Linked DNA regions of Callithrix jacchus. The protein of the gene in region 1 purifies or fractionates together with the protein of each later gene. This does not show direct contact. Links are inferred from orthologs where the notes say so. Each region holds a gene or a part of one and is shown on either strand. Other genes may lie near its edges.

The links.
Region 2: the proteins of UBE2R2 (region 1) and FBXW11 purify together in Homo sapiens (affinity purification with mass spectrometry; 4 studies listed by BioGRID and IntAct, with this or other methods). This does not show direct contact. The link is inferred for Callithrix jacchus from reciprocal best matches to the Homo sapiens genes UBE2R2 and FBXW11.

Annotation. Positions count from the first base shown.
Region 1 is NC_133502.1:140,776,714-140,785,396, forward strand, and holds part of UBE2R2 (ubiquitin-conjugating enzyme E2 R2), read left to right. Parts: intron 1-3,029; coding exon 3,030-3,164; intron 3,165-8,683. UniProt on the Homo sapiens protein: E2 ubiquitin-conjugating enzyme that accepts ubiquitin from an E1 ubiquitin-activating protein, and catalyzes its covalent attachment to other proteins by an E3 ubiquitin-protein ligase complex.
Region 2 is NC_133503.1:64,153,517-64,162,199, reverse strand, and holds part of FBXW11 (F-box/WD repeat-containing protein 11), read left to right. Parts: intron 1-4,342; coding exon 4,343-4,461; intron 4,462-6,624; coding exon 6,625-6,874; intron 6,875-8,683.

The DNA.
Region 1 (8,683 bases):
CTACAGCCTCAAACTCCTTCTGCCTCAGCCTCTCAAGTAGCTGGGACTACAAGTGTATGCCACTGTGCCAGGATAATATTTAAGTAGCTGCATGTGGCTAGTGGTTACTTTATTGAACAGCATAGGTTATACATCAACATAATCATCATCATAGAAAGTTGTTAATGGACAGTACTGATCTAGACAATTTAAGCTATTTTTCCAGCCAGCCATGGTGACTCACACCTATAATCCCAGCACCTTGGGAGGCCGAGGCCAGTGGATCACTTGAGGTCAGGAGTTCAAGACCAGCCTGGTCAAGGCTAGAGGCTAAGGCAGAAGAACCACTTGAACACTTGTCCATCCATTTTCTACGTTGGCAGTGATGAGTTTCTTTCTTTCCTTCTTTCTTTTTTTTTGTTTTGAGACACAGTCTCGCTCTTTCACCCAGGCTGAGTGCAGTAGTTCAATCTGGGCTCACTGCAACCTGCACCTCCTGGGTTCAAGCAATTCTCTCGCCTCATCCTCCTGAGTAGCTGGGGCTATAGGGGCATGCCACCACACCCGGCTAATTTTTTGTATTTTTAGTAGAGACAGGGTTTCACCATGTTAGCCAGGATGGTCTCAATCTCCTGACCTTGTGATCCACCTGCCTCGGCCTCCTAAGGTGCTTTGATTACAGACGTGAGCAACCTTACCTGGCCTTCTTTGACTCTTTTTAATGTAATTACTGAAGAAATCCAGAAGGCTCTTAGGGGAGGAAGGCCAAGGAGTTCTCCTTAACCTAACAGAAAGGAGCATGTGTGATCAATGGATTCTAACTAGATAGAAAAGTTTTCTTTGAAAATGCCTTTGTCATAATCTTGTATAATCGTATAACAGAAATTCTTAACCATTTTAAGGAAAAGTTTTCATCAGATCAAACATCTAATTGCCTGTTTTCCTCCCTTTGTTTTTTGCTTGGGGCCAGGAGCAAAAGGCTATTTTTGCAGCACAATCTCTTATCAGTGAGGAAAGATAGAGACATTTCATCTTTCCTCCCATTTTTCTCCTAATGCACACAATTGTTTAGGGGGAAAAGCCTAGGAGTAATTTGGAACTGTTTTGAAGCCAAGACTTTCTAACAAAAACTTTATTCCCTGATTATTTGGAATGTTTAATTTTTTTTTTTTTTTCTTTTTTGAGACGGAGTTTCGCTCTTGTTACCCAGGCTGGAGTGCAATGGCGCGATCTTGGCTCACCGCAACCTCCACCTCCTGGGTTCAGGCAATTCTCCTGTCTCAGCCTCCTGAGTAGCTGGGATTACAGGCACGCGCCACCATGCCCAGCTAATTTTTTGTATTTTTAGTAGAGACGGGGTTTCACCATGTTGACCAGGATGGTCTCGATCCATTGACCTTGTGATCCACCCACCTCAGCCTCCCAAAGTGCTGGGATTACAGGCTTGAGCCACCGTGCCCGGCTATGAAATGTCTAATTTTTATCTGTGGATGAAAACTGGCCTTTTGTAACACCCACTAGATTTGTAAGCCCTGGGAGACCAGGGGATGGCATCTAACTTGCTCAGCATTGTATACTGTACATCCATTTTACATCTCACTTGGTGCCTCTGGCACACAGTAGGTACATAGTAAATACCTTTGAATGAAAATTTCTGTTATTCAGAGATTCTAATTCTTTTGTTTGGAGGATTCTGCTTTTCCTCCATTCTCCTGCTTAACTCTGTCTTCTAAGTATGGAAAAAATATATTTGTAGCACTCTTTTTCAGGTCATTTAAGAGGCCACAATAAAAACTGGTTATATAGGGCTGGGCATGGTGGCTCATGCGTGTAATCCAAGCACTTTGGGAGGCCAAGATGGGCAGATCACTTAAGGCCAGGAGTTCAGGACCAGCCTGGCCAACACTGCAAAACCCTCTCCCTACTAAAAATACAAAAATGAGCTAGGCGTGGTGGCACATGCCTGTAATCCCAGCTACTCAGGAGACTGAGGCAGGAGAATCACTTAAACACGGGAGGCAGAGGTTACAGTGAGCTGAGACCATGCCACTGCACTGCATCCTGGGAGACAGAGCAAGACTCTGTCTCAAAAAAAAAAAACAAAAAAAAAAAACTGAGCCGGGTGTAGTGGCTTACGCCTGTAATCCCAGCACTGTGGAAGGCTGAGGCGGGCAGATCACCTGAGGTTGGGAGTTCGAGACCAGCCTGACCAACATGGAGAAACCCCGTATCTATTAAAAATATAAAATTAGCCAGGTGTGGTGGTGCATGCTTGTAATCCCAGCTGCTCAGGAGGCTGAGGCAAGAGAATCGCTTGAACTTGGGAGACTGTTGTTGTAGTGAGCCAAGATCGTTCCATTGCCTGGGCGACAGGAGCGAAACTCCGTCTCAAAAACAAAAAACAAACAAAACAAACACAAACCCACAAACCTGGTTATATAGAATAGTGTCATTTTTACCCCGTTCCACATCAAGATTGCCTTGAAATTAAATATTTTTTCTCTCTTTTTAAAAATTTTTTGGAGACAGGGTCTCACTATGTTGCCCAGGCTGGAGTACGGTGGCTATTCACAGGCATGATCCCACTACTGATCAGCACAGGAGTTTTGAGAAGCTAAATATTTTAAGCTTTTCCCCTCATGCCATTTAATTTGTAATTGTAAAAATAAACAATATTTGAAAGCTTCTAAGACATCCACTTTCTGCAGATTGGAACATGCAGCTAGTTGAGACAGGGCTTTCCATCAAGTTCATTTTTATGCTTTGTGCATTATCCTTATACTAGAATCACAGATTTTCTCTGCTTTGCCTAACAGCAGCTTGTTTCTGAAGAAAATTTTTTAAATCTTATTTTTCTTAAATGCCTTTTATGAAAACCATCAATACAAATTTATGATCTTCTCTAATCCCCCACGGTCTCAAATTAAATTGTATCAGAAAAATTTTAAGGGAGGGAAAATTTGAAATCCGATTGTACTTTCTTAAAAAGCAGAAGTTTTAAATACTGTAAATATGGGTATTCATAGCTGACCCTTTTTTCCTGTTTCTAGGACTATCCTATTAAGTGTAATCTCACTGCTTAATGAGCCCAACACCTTCTCCCCAGCCAACGTCGATGCTTCAGTTATGTTCAGGAAATGGAGAGACAGTAAAGGAAAAGACAAAGAATATGCTGAAATCATTAGGTAAGTTGCTTTGGTTTTTTTTTTTTTTTTTAATTACCTCAAGTCATTATACAAAACCAAAATATATTCTGGAACCAAGGTTTTACATCAAACTTAAATATCCTGTCCATTCCAGGATAATTTTCCTCAATTAGATTTATAGTGTGGGAAGAGAAGATTTCTGCCTGAGCCCAGTGAACTTCGCTAGATAATGCAGTAGCAGACCTGATTTTCTAGAAACCAGAACTTCTAGGTTCTTAACTAGACAAGTTTGCAAAGTGTCTTTTAATCATTTTAGGGACCTTGTTCTAGAACATATTGGTTAAGTGTAGCAAACGCAATTACCCAAGGTACTCCAGATTTTCCAGGTACATAGGACAGAGTATCAGGTGTACGTAAGACAGAGTAATTTTGTTTTCAAAATTTGAATAAATAGGCCCGGCACAGTGGCTCATGCCTGTAATCCCAGTGCGTTGGGAGGCTGAGGCAGGTAGATCACTGAGGTCAGGAGTTTGAGACCAGCCTGGCCAACATGGTGAAACCCCATCTCTACACAAAAATTAGCCAGGTGTGGTGGTGCATGCCTGTAATCCCAGCTACTCAGGAGGTTGAGGCAGGAGAATTGGTTGAACCCAGGAAGTGAAGGTTGCAGTGAGCCAAGATTGCACCACTACACTCCAGCCTGGGCGACACTCCATCTTAAAAAAAAAAAAAAAAAAAATTGAATAAATAAAGCCTTCTAGTTTATTGGCATTCCTGACCATAGCAGCAAGTATCTTGGAAATCCTCATTCTCAGCAACACTAATGTGTGGTATAACAGAACCCTAGAATAAGATTCAAGGGATTTGGAATCTACTAGTGGCTCTGCTATTATGAAAAATGGTCCCACAAATAATTAGTCCAAAATGATTAATTTTTGGGTTCTTTTACTTTCTTCTCTATGTATAATGGAAAAAAGCTCAACCTTTAATCTCTTAGGACATCAGGTTCTTCTAATAGTACCCAAAAAATTTGCAAATACAAACCCTACCCTTCCCCCACCCTCCACCTCTTTATTTAAATTATTATTATTTTTTACATTCTTACTCTGTCACCCAGGCCAGGGTGCAGTGGCATGATCTCAGCTCACTGCAACCTCCGCCTCCAGGGTTCAAGTGATTCTCCTGCCTCATCTTCCTGAGTAGCTGGGATTACAGGCACCCACCACCATGCCTGGCTAATATTTTGCATTTTTAGTAGCAACAGGGTTTTACCATGTTGGCCAGGCTGGTCTCAAACTCCTGACCTTGTGATCCAGACAACTCGGCCTCTCAAAGTGCTGGGATTACAGGCGTGAGCGACTGCACCCAGCCTCCTCCACCTCTTTTTAAAGAAACATGGTCTCCCTCTGTTGCCCAGGCTGGAGTGCAGTGGTGTTATCACAGCCCATGGTAACCTGAATTCCTGGGCTCAGGCAGTCCTCCCACCTCAGCAACCAAGACTATAAGCATGTACCACCACACTCAGCTAATTTCTATTATTATTTTTTGTAGAGCCAAGGTCTTGCTATGTTGCCTAGCCTGGTCTTGAACTCTTGGCTTCAACTGATCCTCCTGCCTCAGCCTTCCAAAGCTCTGGGATTTGGTGTGAGCCACTGGGCCTGGCCTCAACCCCATTTGATGTTAGATTTTAATTTTTTAAAATACAGACCCTAAATACAGTTACAGCTTACTTTTGTGCATAGGAGTTCAGTAAGCACTGGCATTTATACAAATAAGAGTAAAATCTAGTTGGCTAGAGACCAAGTGATATGAAAAAAGTTAGAACAATGCTGGGAAAGCACATGAGGTGACTGCTGAGTAATAAAATCAGCAGTTCTAAGTTTTCTGCCCATTGGGATCACCTTTAGACTGTCCCTAAATGACAGCTGTCTTTTATGAGATTACAAGGACAGAGTTTGAGAATCTGTTTGTATGTATATATCTCACCTAGGTGACTGATACATACCAAAAATTGAAGATAATTAGTATAAATAGTAAGATCCTACATAAATCTAGAGGCATGGGAGTGTACTAAGGATTGAAGGATCAGAAAGCTTATGTATACATATTTTTAAGGTACTTCTATATATTTCTTAATTTAAGGGTCCCTTTATCTCATTATATCTATGCCTTAATTACCTAGCACAGTGCCTGACACTCAGCAACAACTTTGTATCAGGTACTCATTAAGACAGAGCATGTCTCCTTAGGGAGCTCACTTAATAGCATTTAAAAACAAACGACCATGTATAATTATACCTATAGAAGCTTAAACAAGAAACATTGGGAGAAATATATAATGTAATAATTTCTAGCAGAGATAATTCCTCATAACCAATAATTTTTCAGGTGAAAAAAGGGAAGGAAAACACCCATGTTTGCTACAATACAGGATTATAATAGCATGACATGCATGTGAAGTCAGTTACAAATGCTTGACTATTTTTTTGAGACAGTCTCCCACTTTCACCCAGCCTGGAGTACAGTGATGCAATTTCTACTCACTGCAACCTCTGGCTCCAGGGCTCAAACTGTCCTACTTCAGTTGGACAGGGGACTGACATGGACTAAATTGAGGCAGTAGTAGTGGGGATGAGGCAGGCGGATCACTTGAGCTCAGGAGTTTGAGACCAGCATGGGCAATGTGGCAAAATCCATCTCTACAAAAAAATTAGGCATGGTGGCTCATGCCTATAAGTTCTGATGTCAGAAATATTAGAAAATTAAGCAAGAGAGGTACCAGGTCTTAAAATACATTGAAGTCATGATAAGAGAGTATCTTAATCTAAGAGGTGATGGGGTACCACTTAAGTATTTTTGGGAGGGAAGAGAGTTCTGATAAAAGACAATTGGCTGCCTGGTGCGGTGGCTCACACCTGTAATCCCAGCACTTTCGGAGGCAGGTGAATCACCTGAGGTCAGGAGTCCAAGATCAACCTGGTCAACATGGTGAAACCCTGTCTCTACCAAAAAAAAAATACAAAATTTAGTTGGGTACAGTGGTGCACACCTGTAGTCCCAGCTACTTGGGAGACTGAGGCAGGAGAATTGCTTGAACCTGGGAGGCAGTGGTTGTAGTGAGCTGAGATCACGCCACTGCACTCCAGCCTAGGCAACAGAGCAGGACTCTGTCTTCAAAAAAAAAAAAAAAGAGAGGAGAGGAGAAGATGGCACTATAGGAGCAACTCAGGATTGCAGCTCCCAGTGAAAGCACAGAGGGTGAGTGGACGCCACATTTCCAGATGGATCTTTATTGCCCACAGATCAGGAGATTCCTAGGTGTAGGAGCCCCACGGGCCGCCAATGTGGCTGTTTAAGCCGGCGTGGCTGTTTCGGTTGGCGCCACAGCGCAGCAGCACTCCGTACAAAATACACTTGTCTGGTTGCCCTGTTAAACCGGCAATTTGAGATTTGGGAAGGCAGATTAGCACATTCATCTGATTAAATGGGACCTAAACAGTTAGCCCAGGAGATTCCTGGGCAGTGATGTTGTTTCAGCTGGCGCAGTGGGTCGCCGCACAGGAAATCACACAGATCCTGGTGCCCTTTCAGCAGGCGACTGGAACACCTGGGAGAGTCAACCGTTCAACTTAAAAAAAAAAAAAAGGGCTCTGAGGTAGGGAGCCAGGTGATAAGGCTCGGCGGGTCCCACCCCCACAAAACCAAAGAAAACAGCAATTGGAAACGCTCGGGGTTGAGAGTTTCACGGCAAGCACAGCTGAACCCAGGATGGTGCAGCTCGGAGGAGGAGGGGCATCTGCCATTACCGAGGCACTCCACCTCTACGGAGGTACTCTGCCATTGCTGGCGCAGCCTGCCGTTGCCGAGGCAACCCGCCATAACAGAGACAGTCCACCATTACAGAGGCGGGCCACCATTGCCACGGCAGTTCTAACCACACCCATATAAATAGGACTACAGGGAATTACACACAGCAGCAGGGCAGAGCCCAGAGCAGCTCAGCATAGCCACTGCAGGCAGGCAGTGACTAGACTGCCTCCTTGCTGGGCAGGGTAGTGCAACGGATGCTCATAAATAAAGCCCTAACTCCCCGGGACAGAGCACCTGAGGAAAAAAAGGGGCTTTATGAGTTCTGCTGCAGCAGACTTAAACGTACCTGCGTAGCAGCCCTGAATGAACAATGGAGCTCACAGCTCAGCACTTGAGCTCCTATAAAGTACAGACTGTCTCCTCAAGCAGCTCCCTGACCCCCATATATCCAAAAACTCACCTCACAAAGGACTGATCAGACTGACATTTGGCAGGCATAATTCTGGGACAAAGATAGCAGAAGAAGAAACTGGTAGCAACCCTCACTGTTCCGCAGCTGCTACAGGTGTTCCCCAGGCAAGCAGGGCCTGGAGTGGACCTCAGCAGTCCTACAGCAGTGGGGCTAGACTGTTAGAAAGAAAACTAAGAAACAGAAATACTTCATCATTAACAATCTAGACATCCACTCAGAGACCCAATTGGAAAGTCAGCAACTACTCAGACGACAGGTGGATAAATCCATCAAGATGGGAAAAAACCAGTGCAAAAAGGAGGAAAACACCTGAAACCAGAACACCTCGCCTCCTACAAGGGACCACAACCCCTCACCAGCAAGGGAACAAAGCTGGATGGAGAATAATGAGAAACTTGTGTGAGCTAAAAGAACACGTTCTAACTCAATGCAAAGAAACTAAGAACTTGGAAAAAACATTTGAGGAAATGATAACAAGAATGGACAACTTAGAGAGGAATATGAGTGAATTGATGGAGCTGAAAAACACAACACGAGAACTTCATGAAGCATGCACAAGTCTCAACAGCCGAATTGACCAAGCAGAAGAAAGGATATCAGAAGTCGAAGATCAACTCAATGAAATAAAATGAGAAACCAATATTAGAGAAAAAAGCGCAAAAAGGAATGAACAAAGTCTCCAAGAAATGTGGGATGAGGTGAAGAGATCTAATCTACATTTGATAGGTGTACCTGAATGGACGAAGAGAATGAATCCAAGCTGGAAAATACTCTTCAGGATATTATCCAGGAAAATTTCCCCAACCTAGCAAGGCAGGCCAATATTCAAGTCCAGGAAATACAGAGACCACAACAAAGATATTCCACAAGAAGAGCAACCCCAAGGCACATAATCGTCAGATTCACCAGGGTTGAAATGAAGGAGAAAATGCTAAGAGCAGCCAGAGAGAAAGTCACTCGGGTCACCCACAAAGGGAAGCCCATCAGACTCAAAGCAGATCTCTTGGCAGAAACCCTACCAGCCAGAAGAGAGTGGGGGCCAATATTCAACATCCTTAAAGAAAAGAACTTTCAACCCAGAATTTCATATCCAACTGAGCTTCATAAGTGAAGGAAAAATAAAATCCTTTGCGAACAAGCAAGTACTCAGAGATTTTGTCACCATCAGGCCTGCTCTACAAGAGCTCCTGAAAGAGGCACGTAGAAAGGAACAACCAGTACCAGCCACTCTGAAAACACACCAAATGTTGAAGAGCATCAACAAAATGAAGAATCT
Region 2 (8,683 bases), on another chromosome or scaffold:
GAGGTAGGAGGATCACTTGAGCCCAGGAGGTTCAAGGCTGCAGTAAGCTGTGATTGCATCACTGTATTTCAGCCTGAATGACAGTGTTAGACTCTCTCTTCTTCCCTCCCTCCCTGTGTGTGTGTGCATGTGCATGTGCATGTGTGTGGGTGTAACTAAATGAAAATGAAAACCCAAGTTATCAAAATCTGTGAAATACAGTGAAAGCTTAGAGAGAATTTTGCAATTTTGAGTGCATATATTAGAAAAGAAGAAAGACTAAAATCATTCATCTAAGCTTCTACCTTAGAAAACTAGAAAAAGAGCAGATTATATCCATAGTAAGCAGAAGAAAAGGGTTAATGAAAATTAGGGCAGAGATCAATGAAATTGATAACAGGTAATCAATAGAAATAATTATGGAAACCAGAAGATTTGTCTTTGAAAAGATGAGTAAAATTGATAAGCCCCTAGCTATGTAATGTAGGAAAAAAAGGACTCAAATTTCTAATACAGAAATGAAAGAGGAGATCACTATAGATCTCATGAATATTAAATGAATAATAAAAGAATATTATGAACAACTCCATGTCCACAAATTTGATAATTTATCTGAAGTGAATTAATTCCCTGAAAGACACAATCTGCCAGAATTGTCATAAAAGCAAATGGATAATCTGAATAGGTCTTTATCTGTTGAAGAAATCAAGTCAATAATTAATTACCTTTCAAAACAGAAAGCACTAGGCCCAGATTGGTTACTGGTGAATTCTGCCAAACATTTAAGCAAGAAATAACACCAGTTCTCTACAACCTCTTCCAAAAGATAGAAGCAGAGAGAATATTTCCTTGCTCATTCTATGAGGCCAGCATTACCTTAGTACTGAACTAGACACAAAGACATTATAAGAAAAGAAAATCACAGACCATTATCACTCATGAGTGTGGCCACAAAAATCCTCAACAAAATATTGGCAAGCCCAGTCCAACAATATATTAAAAGATGCATTAAATATGAACAAGTATTTGTCCTAGGTATCCAAGGTTTACCTTCACATTTAACCTTCAAGAATCAATTAATATAATCCATCATATCAATAAGCCAAAAAAGAAAATCACATCAATAGATGCAGAAAAGGCATTTGACAAAATTGAACACTTACTCATGTTAAAAACCCTTAGTAAACGATGAATAGAGGAGAACTTTCTTAACTTGATAAAGAGTATCTACAAAAAAACCTATAAGATCAGGAATAAGGCAAAGATGTCTCTACTCACCACTACTTTTCAACATTATATTAGAACTCCTAGATAACACAGTAAGACAAGAGAAAATAAAAGGTATACAAATCAAGAAGGAAGAAGTAAACCTGTCTTTGCTTGTAGAGGACATGATTGTAGAAAAAAAATAAAAGCATTAGCAAAAAAACCTCCTAGAACTAATAAATGATTATAGCAAGGTTGCAGGATACAAGGTTAGTATACATAAATCAGTTGCTTACCCATATACCAGCAAGGAACAAGTGGAATATAAAATTAAAAACACAGTAACATAACTGTGAATGGTGGCTCATGCCTGAAATCCCAGCACTTTGGGAGGCTGAGGCGTGTGGATCATTGGAGGTCAGGAGTTTGTGACCTGCCTGGCCAACATGGTGAAACCTCATCTCTACTAAAAGTACAAAAATTAGCTGGGCCTCATGGCATGCACCTGTAGTCCTAGCTACTCAGGAGGCTGAGGCAGGAGAATCGCTTGAACCTGGGAGGTGGAGGTTGCAGTGAGCCAAGATCGTATACCTCTACACTCCAGCTTAGGTGACAGAGCGAGACTCCATCTCAAAACCAAAACAAAAAACACAGTAATATTTATATTAGCATCCCCACCCAAAACAAAAAATACAATAATATTCCTATTAGCAACCCCCCATCCCAAATGAAAAACTTAGGTATAAATCTAACAAAATATTTATGGGATCTGTGTGACTAAAACTGTCAAACTCTGATTCAAGAAATCAAACAACTAAATAAATGGAGAGATATTTCATGCTCATGGGCAGGAAGACTGTTGTGAGGATGTCAGTTATTTCTTCCCAAATGGGTCTGTAGGTTCAATGCCCTCTCAGTCAAAAACTCAGCAAGCTATTTTGTGGATATCTACCAGCTGACTTTATATGAAGCAAAAGCCAGCATGGATATTGAAGGAAAATAAAGACAGAGGATTAACACTACTTTAGGAATTACTGTAAAACTGCAGTAATCACGACGGTGTGGTGCTGGCAACAGAATGGACAGCTAGATCCATGGAAAAGAATAGAGAGCCCAGAAATACATACCTTCACAAATATAGTCACCTGATCTTTTACAAAGGTAATACAATGGAGAAAAGATAGTCTCTTCAGCAATTGGGCAGAAGCAACTAGACACCATATTGCCTCCTTTACTCCCAAATAATACAGACACAGATCCTATATACTTCACAAAAATTAAATCAAAATGGATTAAAGGCCTAGATGTAAAACAGAAAACCATAAAATTTGTAGAATACAATATAGTAGAAAACCCACATGATCTTGAGTTTGTTGGTGACTTTTTAGATACAATGTCAAAGGCATGCTTCATTAAAGAAAGAATAAGCTGGACTTCATTAAAATAAAAAATTTCTGTTCTGTGAGAGACATTGTCCAGAGAATGAAAAAACAAGCCACAGACGAGAGAAAATATATGCAAAAGACATAGAAAGAGCTCTTGAATCTCAACAGTTAGAAAATTAATTAACCTATTAAAAAAAAAAAATAAGGCATAGACCTTAACAGACATGTCACCAAAGAAGATACACAGATGGCATATAAGCATGTGACAAGATGTTCCACGTAAGTCATCAGGGAAATGTGGATTATAACAATGAGACACCACTGCACACCTGTTAGCATGGACAAAATCCAGAACACTGACAACACCCAATGCTGGCGAGCATGTGGAGCAACAGGAACAGGAGCTTGAATTCACTGCTGGTGGAAATACAAAATGGTACAGCCACGTTGTAAGGCAGTTTGGCAGTTCTTACAAAACTAAACATACTTTTACCATATGATCCAGCAGTTGTGCGACTTAATATTTACACAACGGAATCAAAAACTTATGTCTACACAAAAGCCTGGACCCAGATGTTTATGGCAGCTTTGCCCATAATTGCCCAAACTTGGAAGCAACCAAGGTGTCCTTCAGTAGGTATATGGATAAATAAACTGTAGTACATCTAGACAACAGGGATAATTTTCAGCACTAAAAAGGAACGTATATCAAGCCATGAAAAGACAGGGAGGAAGTTTAAATGTGTATTACTATGTGAAAGAAGCCAATCTAAAAAGGCTACATACTGTATGATTCCAACTCTGTGACATTCTAGAAAAGACAAATCTGTGGAAGCCGTAAAAGAAGCGAGAAAAGGAACACTCAGGAGTATGAAAACAACTATTAATAACAATTTCCTTCCTTTAATCCTTTTTTCCTTTTCTGCAGTATATACATAGTCATTGTGTCACTTTATAATTTTTATTCTGATTTTTAAAAATGCTTAACTTTGTAATGAAGCATGATATTTTCTCATTAAAAACTCTTCATAGTTTACTTTGAGACTTTTATGAAATGTTGGACATTTTATTTTTGTAAACATAGGGGTATGCATTTTTAAAAGGTCTTAATAGTTATGTTGTCATGTTGCTTTCCAGAGATTGAGCCACTTCTTTATTTTTACGAGACATAAAATAAAATGGAAAAGCAGGGTCCTGCCTTGTCACCCCGGCTGGAGTACAGTGGTGTGATTGTGACTCACTGCAGCCTTGCCTCCTGGGCTCAAGCAATCCTGTCACCTTAGCCTCCCGAGTTGCTGGGACTACAGGCAGACACCACCATGCCTGGCTAATTAAAAAAAAAAAAAAAAACATATATAAAATTTGTGGAGATGGGTTTCCCAGGCTGGTATTGAACTTCTGGGCTCAAGTGATACTTCTGTCTCTGCCTCCCAAAGTGTTGGGATTACAGGCATGAGCCATAGCACCCAGCCAGTGAGTGACTTCTTTTCACAGATTTTATTTTTTAAAAGTTCCCTTTATGAGGCCATTGGTAAGTGTAATGAGATTAATAGCTAAGGGTTCAAATTAAACAAAATAGCACATCTATCCTAGTAGTTAACCACTATTGTCTGTATTCCTACTTGTTTCTTACCTGTTTGATATTCAATGTTTCTTATTTACTATAACCCAAGTATTTCATTTTATAATCAGAACATAAGGTGGGACAGTAATATTCATCAAAATATAGTATAATAATAAATCGTTGTTTGTGGCTAATCTTGTCTCAATAGATTTGGGATAAAACCAGCCTGGAATGTTTGAAAGTGTTAACAGGACACACAGGCTCTGTCCTCTGCCTGCAATATGATGAGCGTGTCATTGTAACTGGCTCTTCAGATTCTACAGTGAGGTGAGTGATCTGGCTTTGTTGATCTTGTAAGCCTTCCCTGAGAAAGTCTGTGATTGACATCCTCCTCTGGGAGAGGCATACATAAACTTTGCATACATTTTTACAGGCTGTGTTTCAAACTACTTTTGTTGTAGATATGTTTGAGCAAATTAGGCAAAACAGCTAATTTAAGAGTGTTGCTGTTCATTTTAGAGATGATAACATGCTTTCCTGTACGAGCACATACCAAGTATTAGTCTGGCTTTTTCCTTTTGGGAAACTGTGGTCCAGAGCAGAGAGGAGGAAGGCAGCTATTCTAGGAGTGTGGTGGGCACCACCTACAAATACTGAAAGACTCAAAAGCAGTTTGCAGAATCTTTTCAGCAACACCAGGAAAGTAAAATGTGAGAGCGGATAGTATACTCGGTACTCTGTATCATTTTATCAGTTCTCACATCAACCTTTCTGAAGAGGCAGATGTTACCTCCATTTTTGGAGTTGTATTAGGAAACCAAGACCAGAGAGATTAAATAATTTGCTCAGAGTCACAGAATTAATAAATTTTGAACCTTGAATTGATTCAAGTCATGACTGTATATGTAGCCTTGCCAGTAGTGGAAGCACTGATTTTCATTTGTCACTGAGTGGCAGAATGATGAAGATGAAAGTGGCAATGTTCTGCAGTACAAGGAAAGCAATGACGTTTGGGTAAGAGGTGAGCGAGTAGAAAGGGAACATTATTGATATCCATTCCTATACCTCTGGGATAAACGCATTTTTTTCACACCAGATGGGCTTGGGAGTTGGGTGTAGTGATGAGGCCATCAGAGCTGTAGGTCACACAGGAAAGCCTCAGCAAGACTACTGGTATCTGGAGGAAATGTGAAAGAGAAGGAAACAGCTCTTCTGGGTTGGGTCAGATATTTGAAGAGGATTGTTTTACAGGTACACGAGCCTAAGCGATTGGAATGGTCACTGAGTCTGTCTTTGGATACCCACGTTCTCCCCTTTTCACTCCTCTTTATGTTAGTTGTTGTTATTAGCCTCTCACTTCACTCCTGGACACTCTCACCACCCGTTTAAAGCACGCCTAGTATCCTCCTCTGGACTCATTGCTTCTGTACCACTGCTTCTGCCAGAGATTGTGTCTGAGCCTCAGAGGCCTGAGTCTTTTCTCCTCTGCCCTGTGTGAACTTGTCCTCTAAGGAAATGAGGGTTACAAAAAAGCCATGATGTGGAGGTGCTGCCCCCAAATCCCTGGATGTACAAAGCAGTTGCTAGATCCTGGCTTTGTCCATAAAGCAGCCGGATAAAGAAGTGGATGTGATGATTGATGAGGCATCATGACTTACCCAATTTGCAGTGGATAAATAATAGACTCAGAGGCCTGTCAGAGGTCAACAAGAACTGGAAGCTTGGAACTATTCTCACTTCTTCAGCTGTCAAGATTCCTTCTTCCTGTCATCTCAGACTCACTGCAAAATTTACTTTCTTGAAGGAATCGTCTTTTCTATCAGCACAAGCCTGCAAACACCATCTCTGAATACCTGACTGCTAAATATACCTAAACTCGAGCAGAGCCAGAATTAGCCACCTTGTTTGAAACCATCTTAGCACCTCTTAGCAATAAAGACATTACTTTTAGGGCCTACTTTTAATCATGTTGTTAGGTTCATTAAGAATGGGCTCTGTCTTTGTCCATTTATGTTGCTATAAAGGAATACCTGAGGCTGGGTAATTTATAAAGAAAAGGGGCTTATTTGACTCATGGTTCTGCAGGCTCTCCAAGAGGCATATACCAGTATCTGCTTCTGATGAGGGTTTTGAGCTACCTCTACTCATGTCAGAAGGCAAAGGGTAGCCAGCATGTGCAGATTACATGTGAGAGGAAAGCAAGAGAGAGGGAGGAGATGCTAGGCCCTTTTCAACAACCAATTCTCTCAGGAACTAAGAGTGAACTCCCTCTTATGAGAATGGCACCAAGCCATTCATGAGTGATCCACCACCATGACCCAGACACCTCCTGCCAGGCCCTACCTCCAACACTGAGGATCAATTTCAGCATGAGATTTGGTGGAGTCAAACCATATCCAAACCATTGCAGACCCAAGCAGAGCTCAGATACCAGAATCATTTCCTGGCTGTCTCAATAATTAAGCATCATGCTTTTCTTTTCTCTACTAGAGTGTGGGATGTGAACACGGGTGAAGTTCTTAACACATTAATCCATCACAATGAGGCTGTACTGCACTTACGCTTCAGCAATGGACTGATGGTGACCTGTTCCAAAGACCGCTCCATTGCTGTGTGGGACATGGCTTCTGCAACTGATATCACTTTACGCCGTGTCCTGGTTGGCCACCGGGCTGCTGTCAACGTAGTAGACTTTGATGACAAGTACATCGTGTCTGCCTCTGGCGACAGGACTATCAAAGTAAGTGTGTCTGCAGTTATAACCCTACCTGCTCCTGTCCCTTTTAGAACAGGGAAAGCAGAAGTGGCTTATACCAACCGGGTACCTGGAAAGATCTTTATTCTCCTGTGTGCTCATGAACCATCTGTATACCTCTAGAGTCGTAGGCAAGGTAGGAGGAAAAGCCATGGGTCCAGAAGAGAGAACAGTCTTCTATTTAATGAAATGACATTCTTGATCACTTTTTTAAGGGGAAGAGAGCTAACCTGTTGAGCATGTATTGTCTTGAGAGCTTTACTTTACTGTCTCAGTTAACACTTCTAGCACTCTTTTGAGGTAGGTGTTGCCTGATTTTACACATGTGGCTCAGAGAGTAAACGATTGTGTTGGTGATCATCACAGCTAGTTAGTGGCAGAGCTTCGATTTAATTTTTTCACCATGTGGTGGACTCTGGGCTGGATGCTAGGGATGTGATGATGAAGACATGTCCTTGCCTTCAAGAAGCTTAGCATGCAGTAAAGTGGGAGGCAGACTTGTGACAAGGAGCTGAAGTCTAGGGTGATCCCTAGGATATGGTAAACGCAGTCCTGATTCCAATATCCAAACCAACTCTTTTGAATTTTTAGCTTTCTTGTGTTTTTATAACAGCTTTACCGAGGTTTAGTTTCCATACCATAAGATTGAACACTTTAAAGGGCGTAATTCCATGCCCCTTAGTACATTTGCAGTGTTTTATAACATCACTCTTGTCTAGTTCCAGAACATTTTCATCACTCTCTAAAACCCCCACACTCATTAGCAGTCAGCTTGTGTTTCCTCCCAGTCTCTGGTAATCTCATCTGTCTTCCGTTTTGGGATTGGCCTATTCTAAACACTTCATAGAAATGGAAGAATACACGATGTGGCCTTTTCTTTATCGCTTCTTTGACTTATTGTAATATTTTTAAGATTCATCATATGCCTTGTAGCATACAATCAGCTTTGTTCCTTCTGCTGTTTTTTTTTTTTTTTTTTTTTTTTAAAGTAGAGATGGGGTCTTGCTATATTGCACAGAGTGGTCTTGGACTCCTGGGCTCAAGTAGTCCTCGGCCTCCCAAGGTGTTGGGATTATAGGCATGAGCCACCATACCTGGCCAGTACTTCGTTGCTTCCAGTGGCTGAATAAAGTTTCATTGTTTATCTGTTATTAATTGATGGACATTTTAGTTGTTTCCATTTTTTGACTATTATTAATGATGCTGCTATAAATATTGTAGAAGTTTTCGTGTTTTTAATTCTCTTAGGGTGGTAACTCTGTGTTTAGCTTTCCTTTTCTTTTGAAGACAGGGTCTCACTTTGTCACCCAGGCTGGAATGCAGTGGCACAGTCATGTCTCACTTCAGCCTTGACCTGGGGTCAAGCAGTCCCTGAGCTCAGGGACCCCAGAGGCTCCCACCTAGGCCTCCTAGAATAGTTGGGAGTATAGGCACTACTATGCGTCCCCTGCCACCCCCCAACCTTTTTTTTTCGTAGAGATTGGGTCTCACTTTGTTGCCCAGGCTTATGTTTAGCATTTGAGGAACTGCCAAACTGTTTTCCAAAGGTGCTGCACCATTTTACAATCCTGCCAGTGGTATATGAGAGTTTGAGCTTGTTCAAAGAACCTCCTTTTCATGAGCAGCATTGGATAGCATTCTTATAATTAACCCCACAAATCACAAAGTATGTAGCATCACGCTTTAGATGGGATAGTTGGGAAGCTAACAACTAGGATTTGTATGCAGTGACTTACTCCCACAATCACACCAGTTGGTATGAGACCAGTGCCTGGAAGTTGAGAGGGTTTGAGC